2 linked regions of the Cricetulus griseus genome follow. The protein of the gene in region 2 purifies or fractionates together with the protein of the main gene of each other region. This does not show direct contact. Links are inferred from orthologs where the notes say so. Each region holds a gene or a part of one and is shown on either strand. Other genes may lie near its edges.

Evidence for each region. Proteins that work in one complex are often made in the same cells at the same time.
Region 1: the proteins of Sesn2 (region 2) and Mios purify together in Homo sapiens (affinity purification with western blotting; 5 studies listed by BioGRID and IntAct, with this or other methods). This does not show direct contact. The link is inferred for Cricetulus griseus from reciprocal best matches to the Homo sapiens genes SESN2 and MIOS.

What each region holds. Positions count from the first base shown.
Region 1 is NW_023276806.1:216,968,573-216,975,746, reverse strand, and holds part of Mios (GATOR complex protein MIOS), read left to right. Parts: intron 1-254; 5' UTR 255-294; coding exon 295-1,588; intron 1,589-1,861; coding exon 1,862-1,960; intron 1,961-5,169; coding exon 5,170-5,424; intron 5,425-6,696; coding exon 6,697-6,866; intron 6,867-7,174. UniProt on the Homo sapiens protein: As a component of the GATOR2 complex, functions as an activator of the amino acid-sensing branch of the mTORC1 signaling pathway. The GATOR2 complex indirectly activates mTORC1 through the inhibition of the GATOR1 subcomplex.
Region 2 is NC_048595.1:20,764,935-20,772,108, reverse strand, and holds part of Sesn2 (sestrin-2), read right to left. Parts: coding exon 7,023-7,174; intron 6,673-7,022; coding exon 6,490-6,672; intron 6,390-6,489; coding exon 6,177-6,389; intron 5,071-6,176; coding exon 4,920-5,070; intron 4,494-4,919; coding exon 4,375-4,493; intron 3,874-4,374; coding exon 3,683-3,873; intron 997-3,682; coding exon 852-996; intron 271-851; coding exon 184-270; 3' UTR 1-183. UniProt on the Homo sapiens protein: Functions as an intracellular leucine sensor that negatively regulates the mTORC1 signaling pathway through the GATOR complex. In absence of leucine, binds the GATOR subcomplex GATOR2 and prevents mTORC1 signaling.

The DNA.
Region 1 (7,174 bases), on a different chromosome or scaffold from region 2:
AAGGCACCAGTAACTATAATTAAGATAATTCATCATGGGAAATAACGCTGGGATAGGGTTCTCAGATTCCTACTAGATCACTTTATTGGAGGAAGTGGGATTTCTCTGTTTTTAATCAAATGGATATTATCTTAAATCTCTAGGTGGAGAGAAAAATGCAAATATAGAGAAAAAGTGGCTACTTGTGTAGAGAATTCAACTGAAGGATTGTGATTTGTTGATATTTTAAACCTCTTATTTTTAAACATTTTCAGTGAATGGACCTGACTGGACTTTCTGAGCCCATCAATAAACATGAGCGGTACCAAGCCTGATATTTTGTGGGCACCACACCAGGTTGATAGATTTGTTGTATGTGACTCAGAACTGAGCCTTTATCATGTAGAATCGGCTGTGAATTCAGAACTCAAAGCTGGATCATTACGTTTATCTGAAGACTCTGCAGCTACATTACTATCAATAAATTCAGATACACCCTATATGAAATGTATTGCCTGGTATCTCAGTTATGATCCTGAATGTCTCCTAGCCGTTGGACAAGCAAATGGTCGAGTTGTACTTACAAGTCTTGGTCAAGATCATAACTCTAAGTTTAAAGATTTGATAGGAAAAGAATTTGTCCCAAAACACGCTCGACAATGCAATACCCTTGCATGGAATCCTCTGGACAGTAACTGGCTTGCTGCTGGTCTAGACAAGCACAGAGCTGACTTTTCAGTTCTAATATGGGATATCTGCAGCAAATATACTCCTGATATTGTTCCCATGGAAAAAGTGAGACTTTCAGCAGGTGAAGCTGAAACAACATTATTAGTAACAAAACCACTGTATGAGTTGGGGCAAAATGATGCTTGTCTATCTCTTTGTTGGCTTCCAAGAGACCAGAAACTACTTCTTGCTGGCATGCATCGTAACCTAGCCATATTTGATCTTCGGAACACAAGCCAGAAGATGTTTGTAAATACAAAAGCTGTTCAAGGAGTGACAGTAGACCCATACTTCCATGATCGTGTTGCTTCCTTCTATGAAGGTCAGGTTGCAATATGGGATCTGAGAAAATTTGAGAAGCCAGTTTTGACTTTGACTGAGCAACCAAAGCCCTTGACAAAAGTAGCATGGTGCCCAACGAGGACAGGTCTGCTTGCTACTTTAACAAGGGACAGTAATATTATTAGACTGTATGACATGCAGCATACACCCACCCCTATTGGGGATGAAACTGAACCCACAATAATTGAAAGAAGTGTGCAACCTTGTGACAATTACATTGCTTCCTTTGCATGGCATCCAACGAGTCAAAATCGAATGATAGTCATGACTCCCAACCGAACAATGTCTGACTTTACTGTGTTTGAAAGGATATCTCTTGCCTGGAGCCCGATTACGTCTTTAATGTGGGCCTGTGGTCGTCATTTGTATGAATGTGCAGAAGAAGAAAGTGATAATTCCTTAGAAAAAGATATAGCAACAAAAATGCGCCTCCGGGCTTTATCAAGGTATGGGCTTGATACAGAACAGGTATGGAGGAACCACATTCTAGCTGGAAATGAAGACCCACAGCTCAAGTCCCTCTGGTATACTCTGCACTATATCCTTTGTCTTGTTAACATTTTGAGGCAAATTAGGTAAACACAGGAAATGTTTTATGTGCAAACACAAATCATATAATCTAAAATTCTGATGTAAAATTGTTTAAAACTATTGAAAGTTTTAGTTTGTAGACTGGGGGCAGAAAAGGTGGTCAGTAAAGTCAAACTGTGTTACCTGTATAGTCTTAGGAATTTGCTCCTCATTAAAATAATTTTAACTTTGAAATATTTTATTATGCATAATGACCAGTATTTCCTATGCATTTAAATACTTATGAAGCAGTATACAGAAGATATGGATCAAAAATCTCCAGGCAACAAAGGATCATTGGTTTATGCAGGAATTAAATCAATAGTAAAATCATCTTTGGGTAAGAAAATTCCATTTTATATTTTTAAATACATTTTACTTGATCCCTAGTTGGTTAAAACTAAGATTATTTCAGTTCTGTGTATATAAATACCTTTAACCCTCTTGGCTTTCTGATTAGATGTTTTAGTGAGTTGTTAAGTATATTGATTGTATTTATATCCAGATGCTTTACGGAAGCAACTTTGATTCTTTGATGTGACATAGATGTTTCTTTTTTTTTTTTTCTTTTTCTTTTTTTTACATAGATGTTTCTTAAATCTATTCATTTATTATTCTGTGCTATTTATTTGAAGACCCACTTTAAGAGAGGTAGTATACAAGTTCTTTTATAAGATGCTCATTGTTAGTTTGGATTTTATCACAGCATCGTGTGTTTTAAAGACTAAATTAAAAGATCTCTATCTGAAGAAGATCCCTTTGATTTTGCTTCCCAAATACTTTCATAAGGCTATATGACATGAAATATGGCCTAACTTGAAGAAAATACCTGGAAGTCCTTGGTGAGTAAGTGAAGGAGTCAATTAATGGGTTAATAATGTAAGGTTTAAGTTAATAAACTATTTGTAAATAAAAGGCCCCACTCCAAAAAGCACTTTCAACCTAGTTCTTTAAGCAGTTGTTTTTATTCTTTTTATTGAAATTGTGATAATGTTATATTTTCTTTTAACTTAGAATTCAACCTCCACATTTTATAAATCTATTTATACTCCATTGAGTTAAGATGCTAGAAAAATAATTCACACTATTTAGTCAAAACCATAGTGGAAATAATAAATCCATAGGACTTGCTTCACTATGCTACAAGTAACACAGAATGTACAATAACATGGCGTTTTTTTATTTTTTATTTTTTTAGAATAGTTTAACATTTCAGTTAAGCTGCTGCATTTGTTATAGTGGATTTTCTTTTTGAGGACTTTGAAAATACTTTGATGCACAGTGCTGAAAGGTGAATGGACAGCTTCAGATTTGTTTCACTTTGGTGTTTTCCCATTAGAATCACACCAAAAAGAGTAACCTTTATCATTAGAACTAAAATGAGTAAGTCTAATGAGAAACTGCCTTACTTATTAACAGAAGTAAAAAGGCAGCATAATGTGTGATCACCATTTATGAATCTGAATATACCATGACTTGTGAGTTTAAAAACTACTGCCACACAAAGAATTAAGTACTATGTCAATAAAATTTATAGAATTGGGCAATGGACTAAGAGTTCAGAATATAGGAGGAATATAACCATAGAGCAAGCAGTATGTTAGAAATACCTGATATTTTATGGGATAGATGAAATTGTTCAGATTAAGAACCAAAAGCAATGTGTTAACTAGAGAGTGGTGGTGGGATAGGAAAAGCATGGGAGCTATGTATTCATGTAGACAAGGGGACGAAGTCACTTCATGCTTTAGATCCAGTTGGCTGAAACAACTGAACACTGAAGAGAAATCAGCAACTATAAATAATTAAAAACATAGGCTGTATCAGGGAGGATAAAATGGTAACCAGTGCTAGGAGCTAACCTAGAATGGAGGGAGGGCTGTTGTTGCTTTGTTACTGGTTTCAGCATAAGATTAAGCATGTTTAAATGCTGATTGGAAAAAGCCGTGGGTGTGTGTGTGTGGGGGGGGTGTGGGTGGGTGGGTGGGTGGGTGAGCGTGGGCATGCACATGTTGCTGCACACATGGAGAGGACCGGAGACAACTTTTGGCAGTCAGTTGTAGCCATGTGCCTTGCTGAGGGAGGGACCTTCTTACTGTAGATGAACTTCATACTGCGGTCTACCAGCCCACCATGAACTTTCTCCCGTAAGAGTGCTAGGGTTCAGATGCATTCCATCCGGCCTTCTGTGTGAATTCTAGGGGATGGAACTCAGTCATCATGCTTGTAGCTAGGCCTTTACTGCTTAAGCCATGTCTCGCACCCCACTTCCTGTCTTTAATATAGCAGAGGTTGTATAATAAAAGCCTGGCCAGCTTTCCACCCAGCACAATGAAATTTTGTTTATACTTGACAAGTTTAACTTTGATCCAGAGAATTTATGTGTTCAAATTGATTTAAAGGAGCAAAATAGCTAAGATTTTATGGTTGTTTTCTTTTTCTTTTCTTTCTTTCTTTTTTTTAATATTTATTTATTTATTATGTGTGCAGTGTTCTGTCTGCATGTTGCCTGCAGGCCAGAGGAGGGCACCAGATCTCATTACAGATGGTTGTGAGCCACCATGTGGTTGCTGGGAATTGAACTCAGGACTTTTGGAAGAACAAGCAGTGCTCTTAACCACTGAGCCATCTCTCCAGTTTTCTTATAGTGTATTATCAAGTACATATATTTTATACACTATATGTATGTGTGTGACATATACAAATGCATATTATCTGATTGGTGATTTGAGACTTTTTTAAGCTGGCATTTTAATGTTTGAGTATACTTGTTTCCTTTGCAAACATTAATAAAATACTGATTCTATTAATATGGGCAATATCAGATTCAGTGATGAAAAGTTTTTCATTTTTGTATTGCATATAATATGTAGATTTTATTTCTTTCATAGATAAGTTAAAATTTTATAGATATTAAAATTGTAGTGTAATGATCCATTTGAAATTAATGGTGTCACATTTCTTTTTTGATAACCCTAATTACCCACAGCATAGTTGTCAAACTAAGAGAGAATCTCTGAGCAGCCAGAGTTCAATTCATTAAATTAAAAATGTTCTATTTAAAAATAAGTAATGTGGGCATGGAGTTGGGAGAATACTTGCCTAGCTTGCAGGAAGCCACAGGTTTCATCCCCAGCATTGCATAAAACTGAGTGTCAGTGAACTTTAGTTCCAGCTCTTCATTGGAGCTTTTGTTCCAGTGAGAGAACAGACATGAGAATTTATGTTAAATGCTGCCCTGTAGTACATATAGGAAACAAGTGCTGAGTTAGATAACAGCTGTCTATTTTAGATTAGAGGGTTGAAGCAGTGACTCAGCTTAGCGGGCTGAACTGTCATTCTTATAGCAATAGCTTCTTAGTAATTCAACTGTGGTATAAAATGTTTGATTTAAAATTTCAGTATACCGCTTATTTATGCTATTGTAAGGTTATGACTGAGAAGTTGAATATTCTAAATGTTGAATTTTTTTTTTTTGTAAAGCTGGTGTTGCCTAATATATTTTAAAGTATCAATGAACAGCACTCTAAAAACGTTTTCTGTTTTTAGGGATGGTGGAAAGCAGCAGACATAACTGGAGTGGCTTGGACAAACAAACTGACATTCAGAACTTGAATGAAGAGAGGATTTTAGCATTACAGCTCTGTGGGTGGATAAAGAAAGGAACAGATGTAGACGTGGGGCCGTTTTTGAACTCTCTTGTGCAAGAAGGAGAATGGGAAAGAGCTGCTGCTGTGGCTTTGTTCAACTTGGATATTCGGCGAGCGATCCAAATCCTGAATGAAGGGGCATCTTCAGAAAAAGGTAGTAGGTTATGTTGTGAGAATTAGCGGCTCACAGAATCCGCCAACATCTTATACACATTTTTATTGAAAGGGAAAGTATGTCATGCTAAGTGGTGAATATTAGCTAGTCCCATTTATATATGCCTCCAGATAGGACAATAAAAACAAAATGTTCTTTTGGGCGGTTTCAAGACAGGGTTTCTCTGGCTTTGGAACCTATCCTGGAACTAACTCTAGCAGACCAGGCTGCCTCTGCCTCCGAGTGCTGGAATTAAAGGTGTGTGCCATCACTGCCCAGCCATATGCTTTTATTTTAAAAGACTTAAAACTTAATGGAGTAAGCAGAGGAATGAAGCATCAAATATCTTGGAAAACATTTTTGTAAAAGTGAGTAATGAAGCTGATAAGAACAGAAAGTAGGCATGGGTACTGTTTTAATTGGAAAAGCAAGAATGGTTAGAATCAAGAAAGGTAGAAAATTCTTAAGAGAAAAGGAAAAGGGAGACATAGCTTGGACATTTGAAATGAAACTTAGGAAGGCTGTGCAGAACTGAAGAGCAGGTTGGCAGCTTCCTAGCAGCCCTGTGCATCACAGAGCAACTGTTTATACAACTCATTGGTAAAGAATGCTTTGTTGCAAAGACCCCTGAGTGCAGTTTTGTAATAATTCTGATAGCTCATTTTGGCCTAGCAGTTTTTCTAAATGTATTATAATAAAAATACTGAAACGCTTTTTCTCCATTTGACACTTTGTACATAAGTATATATATTATATATTAGAAATAGGAAAATAAGAAAACTTTGAAAATTACAATGGTGGGGTATATTAGTATTTACTGTTAATACTCTGAGATAGCATAGATGGCTTTACTGATAACAGCGGCAGTGATTTTGGTAAGATGGTCTGACTTGTCTCCATTTAGATACCAAGTAGTAATATGCCATATAGGAAATTGCTGGATGAAGAACTAGAAAGGTAATTGTTGTACTGCTGCTGTGGGAGCAGCTCAGTGGTGGAGCAGCCACTGGGATTCTGGCTCATGTCCAGTACTGCACAAGAGAGGCGTTCATTGGGCACGGGATTGCAAGTGTGCATATGCACTGGTTTTAGGAGTGGAGTTTTTCCAATGTACTCTACCAAATTAACAGTCTTAGTTTTTTCTTATTCGGGTGGGCTTCTTTTCTTGGGATAAAAATTCACCCTCTGATCACTGTGTTGAGGATTTCAGAACTGTGGGAAAAGGTTATTAAGTTTCTGATGGCTTGATTACTGTATGTTTTTAACCTCCAGGAGACCTGAATCTCAATGTGGTGGCAATGGCTTTATCCGGCTATACGGATGAGAAGAACTCCCTGTGGAGAGAGATGTGCAGCACACTGCGATTGCAACTCCACAACCCCTATCTGTGTGTCATGTTTGCATTCCTGACGAGTGAAGCAGGAGCTTATGACGGAGTTTTGGTAAGTTGTTTTGTTTCCCAAGATCCTCCTTTGAGTTAGAACAGGTTTGCTTTTGGTAGTTTTCTTCTTTTTAAGATTTGTTTATTTATTACGTATGCAGTATTCTGCCTGCACGTCTCCCAGCAGGCCTTGTAGTTTTCTTAATATGGTTTTTAGCTACAGAGCCAAAACTATTTCATCCTTTACTGAAGGACTGCAGAAATGTACAACTATAAACACATACATGAATTTGCTGTTGAAATTGTGCGTGTGTGTGTGTGTGTGTGTGTGTGTGTGTGTGTGTGTGTGTGTGTGTGTGTGTATGTGTA
Region 2 (7,174 bases):
AAGAGAAAGGAAGGTGTGGCTTGCCCAGGGAGCTGCACACCGCACACATGCCCATCCTTAGCATCTGGTGGATGGACATGAGACAGAGATCGTCCTGGATCTGTCTCCAGACACAGAAATCCTGTACAGAGGACACTGCCCCAGGGTTGGCTGCTCCGGGTGCTGGTCCTGCGTGGGAGGGAGTCAGGTCATGTAGCGGGTGATGGCACGGAGGGCATAGAGCAGGGCTGCTTGCATCCGGGCCTCCAGGAGCAACAAGTTCACGTGAACCTGGGGCACAGAAAGAGGCTTGCTCACAACTGCTCTGCAGCCCTCCCTCCCAGTCTACCAGTTCCCTGGGCACTCACCTCACCCACGCCTCCCACCGAGATGCCCCGACCTGTGCTAAGAAGGCTCTGTGCAATCTGGTGCAGTGACTGCTGAGGAAGCCCCCTGTCGTGACTAAGTACCTTATCTCCCAAGTCTGAAAGAGCTACCATTAGCTGGCTGCAGTGAAGGATCAAATGCTTCCATATATAGTCTCATTGTGCCTTCCCAGCTTTGAAGCCCAGGCAGTGTCTCTTCTCATTATAAAGGGGAAAAGCTCAAAGACGCAAAGTCACATGTCCAAAGGCACAGTGCTCCTATGTGAGAGAAACTGATTTGAACCTATGCCTGCCAAACTGCCACTCAAAGTCTGTGGGAACAGGCCCCCAGGTGCCTTATTTGAATGAAGTCTGAAATCACACAGTGGAATAGGATTTAACCAAGGACAACAGGCCCAGGTTCCCACTGTGATCCTCACTGGGTCCTACTCTCTAGCTCTTCTACAGGCCTGGCTTGGCTGTTTTTCACATCCACATGGCTGTTACCTTCTCTGAGTGGCGGAAGTGCCTCCAGAAGAGGTGGTACATCCTGCGGGTTGTCTTCTCTGGGTAGCAGGCCACGGTCTTGATGTAAATTTTGAGGTTCCTTTCCAGGAGTTGGTTTACCTCCCCATAGTCGTAGTCATCGTATCTGATGGAAAAGACCCGGGCAGCGTTACTCAAGCCCTGATCTCACAAGCAGAGTGGCCCACTCACCCCACCCTACAGAAGGAGGAACAGAGAGTGGCCAGAAAAGCCAGAAGGTAAGAAGCAATCAGAAGCCTGGTTCCTCTCGGAAAACAGCTGACATCATGCGTCATAGGTTACCAGGCTCACAGAGGACTACTCTAAGTAACACTAACAATGAGCACGCACTATTGAATTCTGACTGAGCCGGTGACAATCCTACAAATTACATACTCTGTCATATTCAATATACTGTGTTCATCAATTTCATTTTACTGAGATTCAAAGAAGGCATTCCCTCCACAGCAGGGAATGACTTCAAATCCAGCTCTCCTACACTCACTGTGACAGGAAGGTCAGTGGTGATCCTGGAGAACGAAGCAGTGGTGGGAAAAAGGAGACACAGCTAAAACCAGACAGGCAAGCTAAGGTCTAGCTAGAGAAGGCAATTAACTGCTTCAAAATCCAACAGCAAGTTGGCAATGAGTTTAGAAGCCGCTTGTCTCTCCTCAGTGTAGTTATGCATGTGCATAGGGAAAACCAGGAAGGAAACACCTGAATACAATAAAATAAGGTGACCTCCTGCACAATTTTGGTGGGTTTTTTGGTCTTCTTGTTTTTTTTGTTTTTGTTTTTTTTGTTGCGACAAGGTTTTGACTGTGTAGACCAGGCGGGCCTTGGAACTCCCAGAGATCTGCCTGCTTCTGCCTCCCAAGTGCTAGAATCGGGGCGTGCATCACCACTGCCCAGCAGTTTTGGTGGTTTGTTTGTTTGTTTGTTTTTTGTTTTTTTAATTTTTTAGAGTCCTGTAGTCTAGCTGGTGAACTTGTTATATAGTGAAGGATGACCTTGAACACCTAACTGATCCTCCTGTTTTTGCCTTCCCAGTACTGGAATTACAGGTATTAGTAAAAAACAAGTCAACAAAGAAAGGAAAGCCGGGGCAGGCGGTGGTGGCGCACACCTTTAGTCCCAGCACTCGGGAGGCAGAGGCAGGCGGATCTCTGTGAGTTTGAGACCAGCCTGGTCTACAAGAGCTAGTTCCAGGACAGCCTCGAAAGCCACAGAAAAACCTGGTCTCAGGAACACCCCCCCATCCCTCAAAGGCAAAAGCCTATCCCAGCACACGAAAGACTGAAATAGATAGGCTGCTGTGAGTTCATGGTCAATCTGGACTGTTGTGAAACCCTACCTTAAAAATAAATGAATAAATAGAGTTTTTTATATATCTTAGATAAACCATTTTATTTCGAGGATTCATCAATGAGAACTCGTGTATGAGACTAGTCAGTGCGAATAATGTTTATAAGAGTAAAATCTGCCATCGGGGGTGGTAAGCACATGGCTGTAATCTCAACACCTGGGAGGCCAAAGAAACAGGGGGTCCCAAATTTGAGCCAACAGAGACTCCTTCTTGGGGGTGGGGAGAGGAGGAACTTAGGAAAAAAAAACCCTAACAATAGAAAAGAAAAACAAGAAACAACCCTGCAAACAACCTAAATACTCATATAACATCACTTAATAAAAAATTTTCCTAAACAAACAAACAAACAAACAAATAACAAATAGACAACAACAACAACAAAACCACCAGTCAGTGGACAGACAATATGGCTCAGTGAGTAAAGGAGCTTGCCATCTAGAGTAGTGATCCCGGTTTGGTCCCTCTGCCCCATACAGTGGAAGGAGAGAAACGACTCCAGCAAGTTGTGTCCCACATGAGAATGTATACACATACATAAAAATAAATAAAACTTTTTTAACTAGAAAAGATTTAACAAGATAAAACTATATAAATCACTGTACTATATTGTACAGAGATGACCAGACTTAATATTTTGGTGGGTAACCTCCCACATGCCTGACTCCTGGTCATAATTTTCATGAGCTGCATAACAGGTTACAATGGAAACATCATTATTTCAAGTCTGTTGCTGATGGGTATCTGTGTTGTCCTTACTGACTACAGGAAAAGATGTGCTATTTGGAAATTTAAACACGAGTCTATAGCAGGATGGTGGTGGAGCACGCCTTTAATCCCAGCACTCGGGAGGCAGAGGTAGGTGGATCTCTGTGAGTTTGAGGCCAGCCTGGTCTACAGAGTAAGTTCTAGGACAGCTAGGACTGTTACACAGAGAAGCCCTGTCTTGAAAAACCAAAAAAATATGTGTCTATGTAGTGTGTACATTTGATGTTTGTATTTGTGTAGAGTGCACAATACAAACACACATGAACCCATAGCTAAAGTGCTTTGGTCGAGCAGGCCTTTAAGCCCCAGCACCTAGAAGCTAAGGCAGCAGGAGTGTCAAGAGCTCAAGCCTGACCTGAAGCATACAAGTTCTAGGCTAGTCTGTGTTATACCCTGCTTCCAAACATCAAAAATAAATAAGTAAAATGACATAAAACAACATAAAGTGCCTAGCATGCACAAGGTCTTAGGTTCAATTCTTTGTATTACAAGCCAAACAAAGCAAAGCCCAGTTATCTCTGGGAGAGTGCTTAAAGAGGCTTATTAGCTTTAAACCTGCAAAGACATAAATTGCCTTGAAAGATTACTATAGGCAAGAAGAAAAGAAAAACTAAAAGTGACAGTATGCTCAAGAAAGATTGATGGCATACACATGACCTGAACCTGGAGAGCACTTGCTCACCTGATGCCAAAGACACAGTGGATGTAGTTCCAGATGGCCCTTCGGAGCATGGAGGTGTCCACACCACTGTGCATGGCGATGGTGTTATAGGTGAGGCTGTAGGCTACCTGAAACTTCTCATCCAGCAGCTGTCCTCCCTCAGGGTAGAGCCGCTGGATCAGTGAGTAGCCATGGTCTTCCCAGGTATAATCCTGAGGAATAAGGGAAGAGGTCAGGGAGCAAGACTTGGGAAACCCAAGGCTGACCAGAGATCTGTCCTCTGGAACGCTAGAATTCACACCTTGCTTTGCATAACATACCCTCCCTACACCACAATCTGATACGCTATGGACGGACCTGAGAGACCAAGCAGGTGAACCAGGATGATGACTTTTCCCCTGGATTGGGATCTCTTAGGTCTTCACTGCCCTTATGGGTTTTTGTTTTGTTTTGTTTTGTTTTTGAGACAGGGTTTCTCTGTATAGCCCTGGCTGTCCTGAAACTAGCTCGTAGACCAGGGTGGTCTCGAACTCACAGAGATCCACCTGCGTCTGCCTCCCAGTCCTGCGATTAGAGGAGTGCGCCATCACTGCCTGGCACACTCATGGGTTTTTGTGGGGAGAAGGTATCCAACTTTAGAACCATTGCAAGCACTTGCCTCTGCTTATATGCAAATCTAAGGAAATGAACACCACTAGTGCAGGGAGCCTCACCTGGGCTCGGAAGGTAGGCGGGGCCTGAGTCCCTCGACGAGTGAAGTCTTCATACCCAAATGTGGGGTCTTCCACAAAGCATAGAATGTCTGGGTGTGGAGAGGTCTCCAGGATATCCGCTGAGGGCCATAGCAGAAAGAGGAGTCAGAGAAGCTGAGCCTAGAGCTCCACGTCATCAGAGAGGTAAGGGGAGCAACAGTAGGGGACCACAGAGAGCCTCTCCCCACACCAAGTGGGGAAGACTTTAGTTAGAGCCACTCCTGGGGAGGAGGAGACTCCTGCCCAAGAACCAGGAAGGCAAGGCGCCCTGTAACAGTAATAGTGGTAGTTCTATAGCATGGCTCAACCTGGGAAAGGCTCTAAGCTTGGCTCCATCTACCCAACACTAACCCTGAAGGGCTAACAGACCAGGACTCAAAGGCAGATCTGAACACAAGGCCATGCAGAGCCTCTTGGAAGGAAGGCATGGTGCATGGAGGTGTCTGCTCCCATCAGAAGGGTAGGGAGAGAGGCAGTCCCTAGCACAGACATCTGTGATCCTGTACCTGAGGGGGTTACCAGCAGACTTTCTGATTTCTCCAGCTCAAAACGGTTCTCCATTTCCTCCTGGGAAGCTCCCTCATCTCGCAGCAGGCTCTCCTGCAGCTGCCTCATGCGTTCCATCAAGGCTTCTACATCACGGGCGGCTTCGAAGCCCTGTAGGAAGAACCCAGGAATTACCATCTTGTCCTCCTCCCTTCACGGTCCTCTGGAAAGCTCCACTCAGATTTGATACATTCTAGGCCTTCCTGAGTGATCAGAAAGAACTAGGGTGTTTCTGAGCCAGCTACCACACACAGGGCAGCACATACTCTGTGAGTCTTCCACAGGGGTTGGTTTTGTTTGTTTTTTGAGACAGGGTGTTATTCACTGTGTAGCCCTACCTGTGCTGGAACTGAGGATGTAGATCAGGCTGGCCTTCAACTCAGAGATCGTCTGCCTCTGCCTCCTCAGTTCTGGGATTATGGGAGTTTCTGTTGATTGGTGGTTTTTGTTTTTTGAGACAGGGTTTCTCTGTGAAACAGCCCTGACTGTCTTGGACCTCACTCTGTAGACCAGGCTGGCCTGGAACTCACAGAGATCCACCTGCCTCTGCCTCTCGAGTGCTGGGATTAAAGGCGTGCAACACCACAGCCCAGCAGCCAGTGCTGTTAACCACTGAGCCATCTCTCCACCCCCTGTTGTTTGGTTTTTGGTCCTGTTGCTGATTGAACTCACACAGACTAGGCAGTCACCACTGAGCTATACCAACGCCTACATTTTGTATAGTCAACGGGACAAAAAATGTCAGACATGGTGGCTCACTTCTCTAATCCTAGCACATTGAGAAGATGGGGATATAGGAGATCACGATGAGTTTGAGGCTAGCCTGGGCTACAGAGTAAGACCCTGCCTCAAAAATAACAATAAAACCAAAAACATCCACAAACAACAACAAAAATCAGCTGGTGCCAAGAGGTGGTGTCCTACACCTTCAATCCCAGCACTCAGGAGGCAGAGGCAGGTGGATCTCTGTGAGTTCAAGACCAGCCTGGTCTACAAGAGCTAGTTCCAGGACAGCCTCCAAAGCCATAGAGAAACCCTGTCTCGAAAAACAAAACAAAAAACCCAACAACAAAACAAACAAACCAGAGTTTAAAGCCAAGCAATTTTGCTGTAGCCTCTCACTGTGAAGAGACTGGAAAGCCATGGTTTCTATTCCCAGGGCAGAGGCCGCACCAGCTTTCTCCCACACGAAAGCAAGATCCAGGATCACGACTTACCCCAGAGTTGTTCAATGGGTCTCCACTTGGGGGACTTCCGTGCTCACTGGGGGGCGAGGGTGCCTGTGAGGCAGGACTTCCCTCTGCGTCTCCTTCAGGAAGTATTCCACAGCCAAACACGAAGGAGGCCAGGGAGTGGCAGTGTGTGAGCAGGACCAGAGCTTGGATGAGTTCAGCCAGGGACCAGCTGTGCTCTCCAGTCTTCAGTAAGGCCTGGAAGGGAGAGAGCGCTAACCCACTTAGTGGCTGCCCCTGAGCGACTCCAGCCCAGCCCCCAGGCTTCCTCAAGGAGCCAACCTTCCGCCTATCATACCTGGATATGCTCCTTGGTGATGAGCCACGGCCGATGTGCCAGCAACTTGTTGATCTCACTGAGTTTGCGAAGCTTTTCAGGTGCCCGGTGGAGGCCCAGCAGCCACTCCGGGTCACCACCAGTCTGCAGGAACTCGGTCATGTGGGAGCCCACCAGGTAAGAACACTGGTGGCGGGCAGCTGCCTATGGAGGGAGGTGATAAGCCTGAGTTACCCGCCTTCCGTGCCCCATTCTGGAAAGATCCCCCTGAGATCTAAGAGGGAGAAAAAAAAAAATCTATATTCTAACTTCAGCTCTGCCACCAGCTTGCTGGTCATCTGACCCCTTTGCACCTCAGTTGTCCCATCTGTAAAGAACACTTAAAGAGCCGCTCTTTAAAACCTAAAATCCCGTGGACATTATCGGGTAAAACTGAACACTTCCTCTTCACCTAAAAAAAAAAAAAATCAACTCAGGAGAGTCCCAGCAAATGAATCTGAAGCTAGAACTACCATTTGGCCACCCCTGCGAGGCCCAGGCCTGGATAAACTTACCATGATGGCAATGTAGTGACGCCAAGAGCTGGCCAGGGGCCCGTCTGTATGCAGCAGCAGATAGTGGAGACGCCAAAAGCTGCTAAGGTAGTCGGGGTGGAGGCCCATCACTACCGCCAGATTATCCACCCGCCCGGAGGACATCAGAGCCT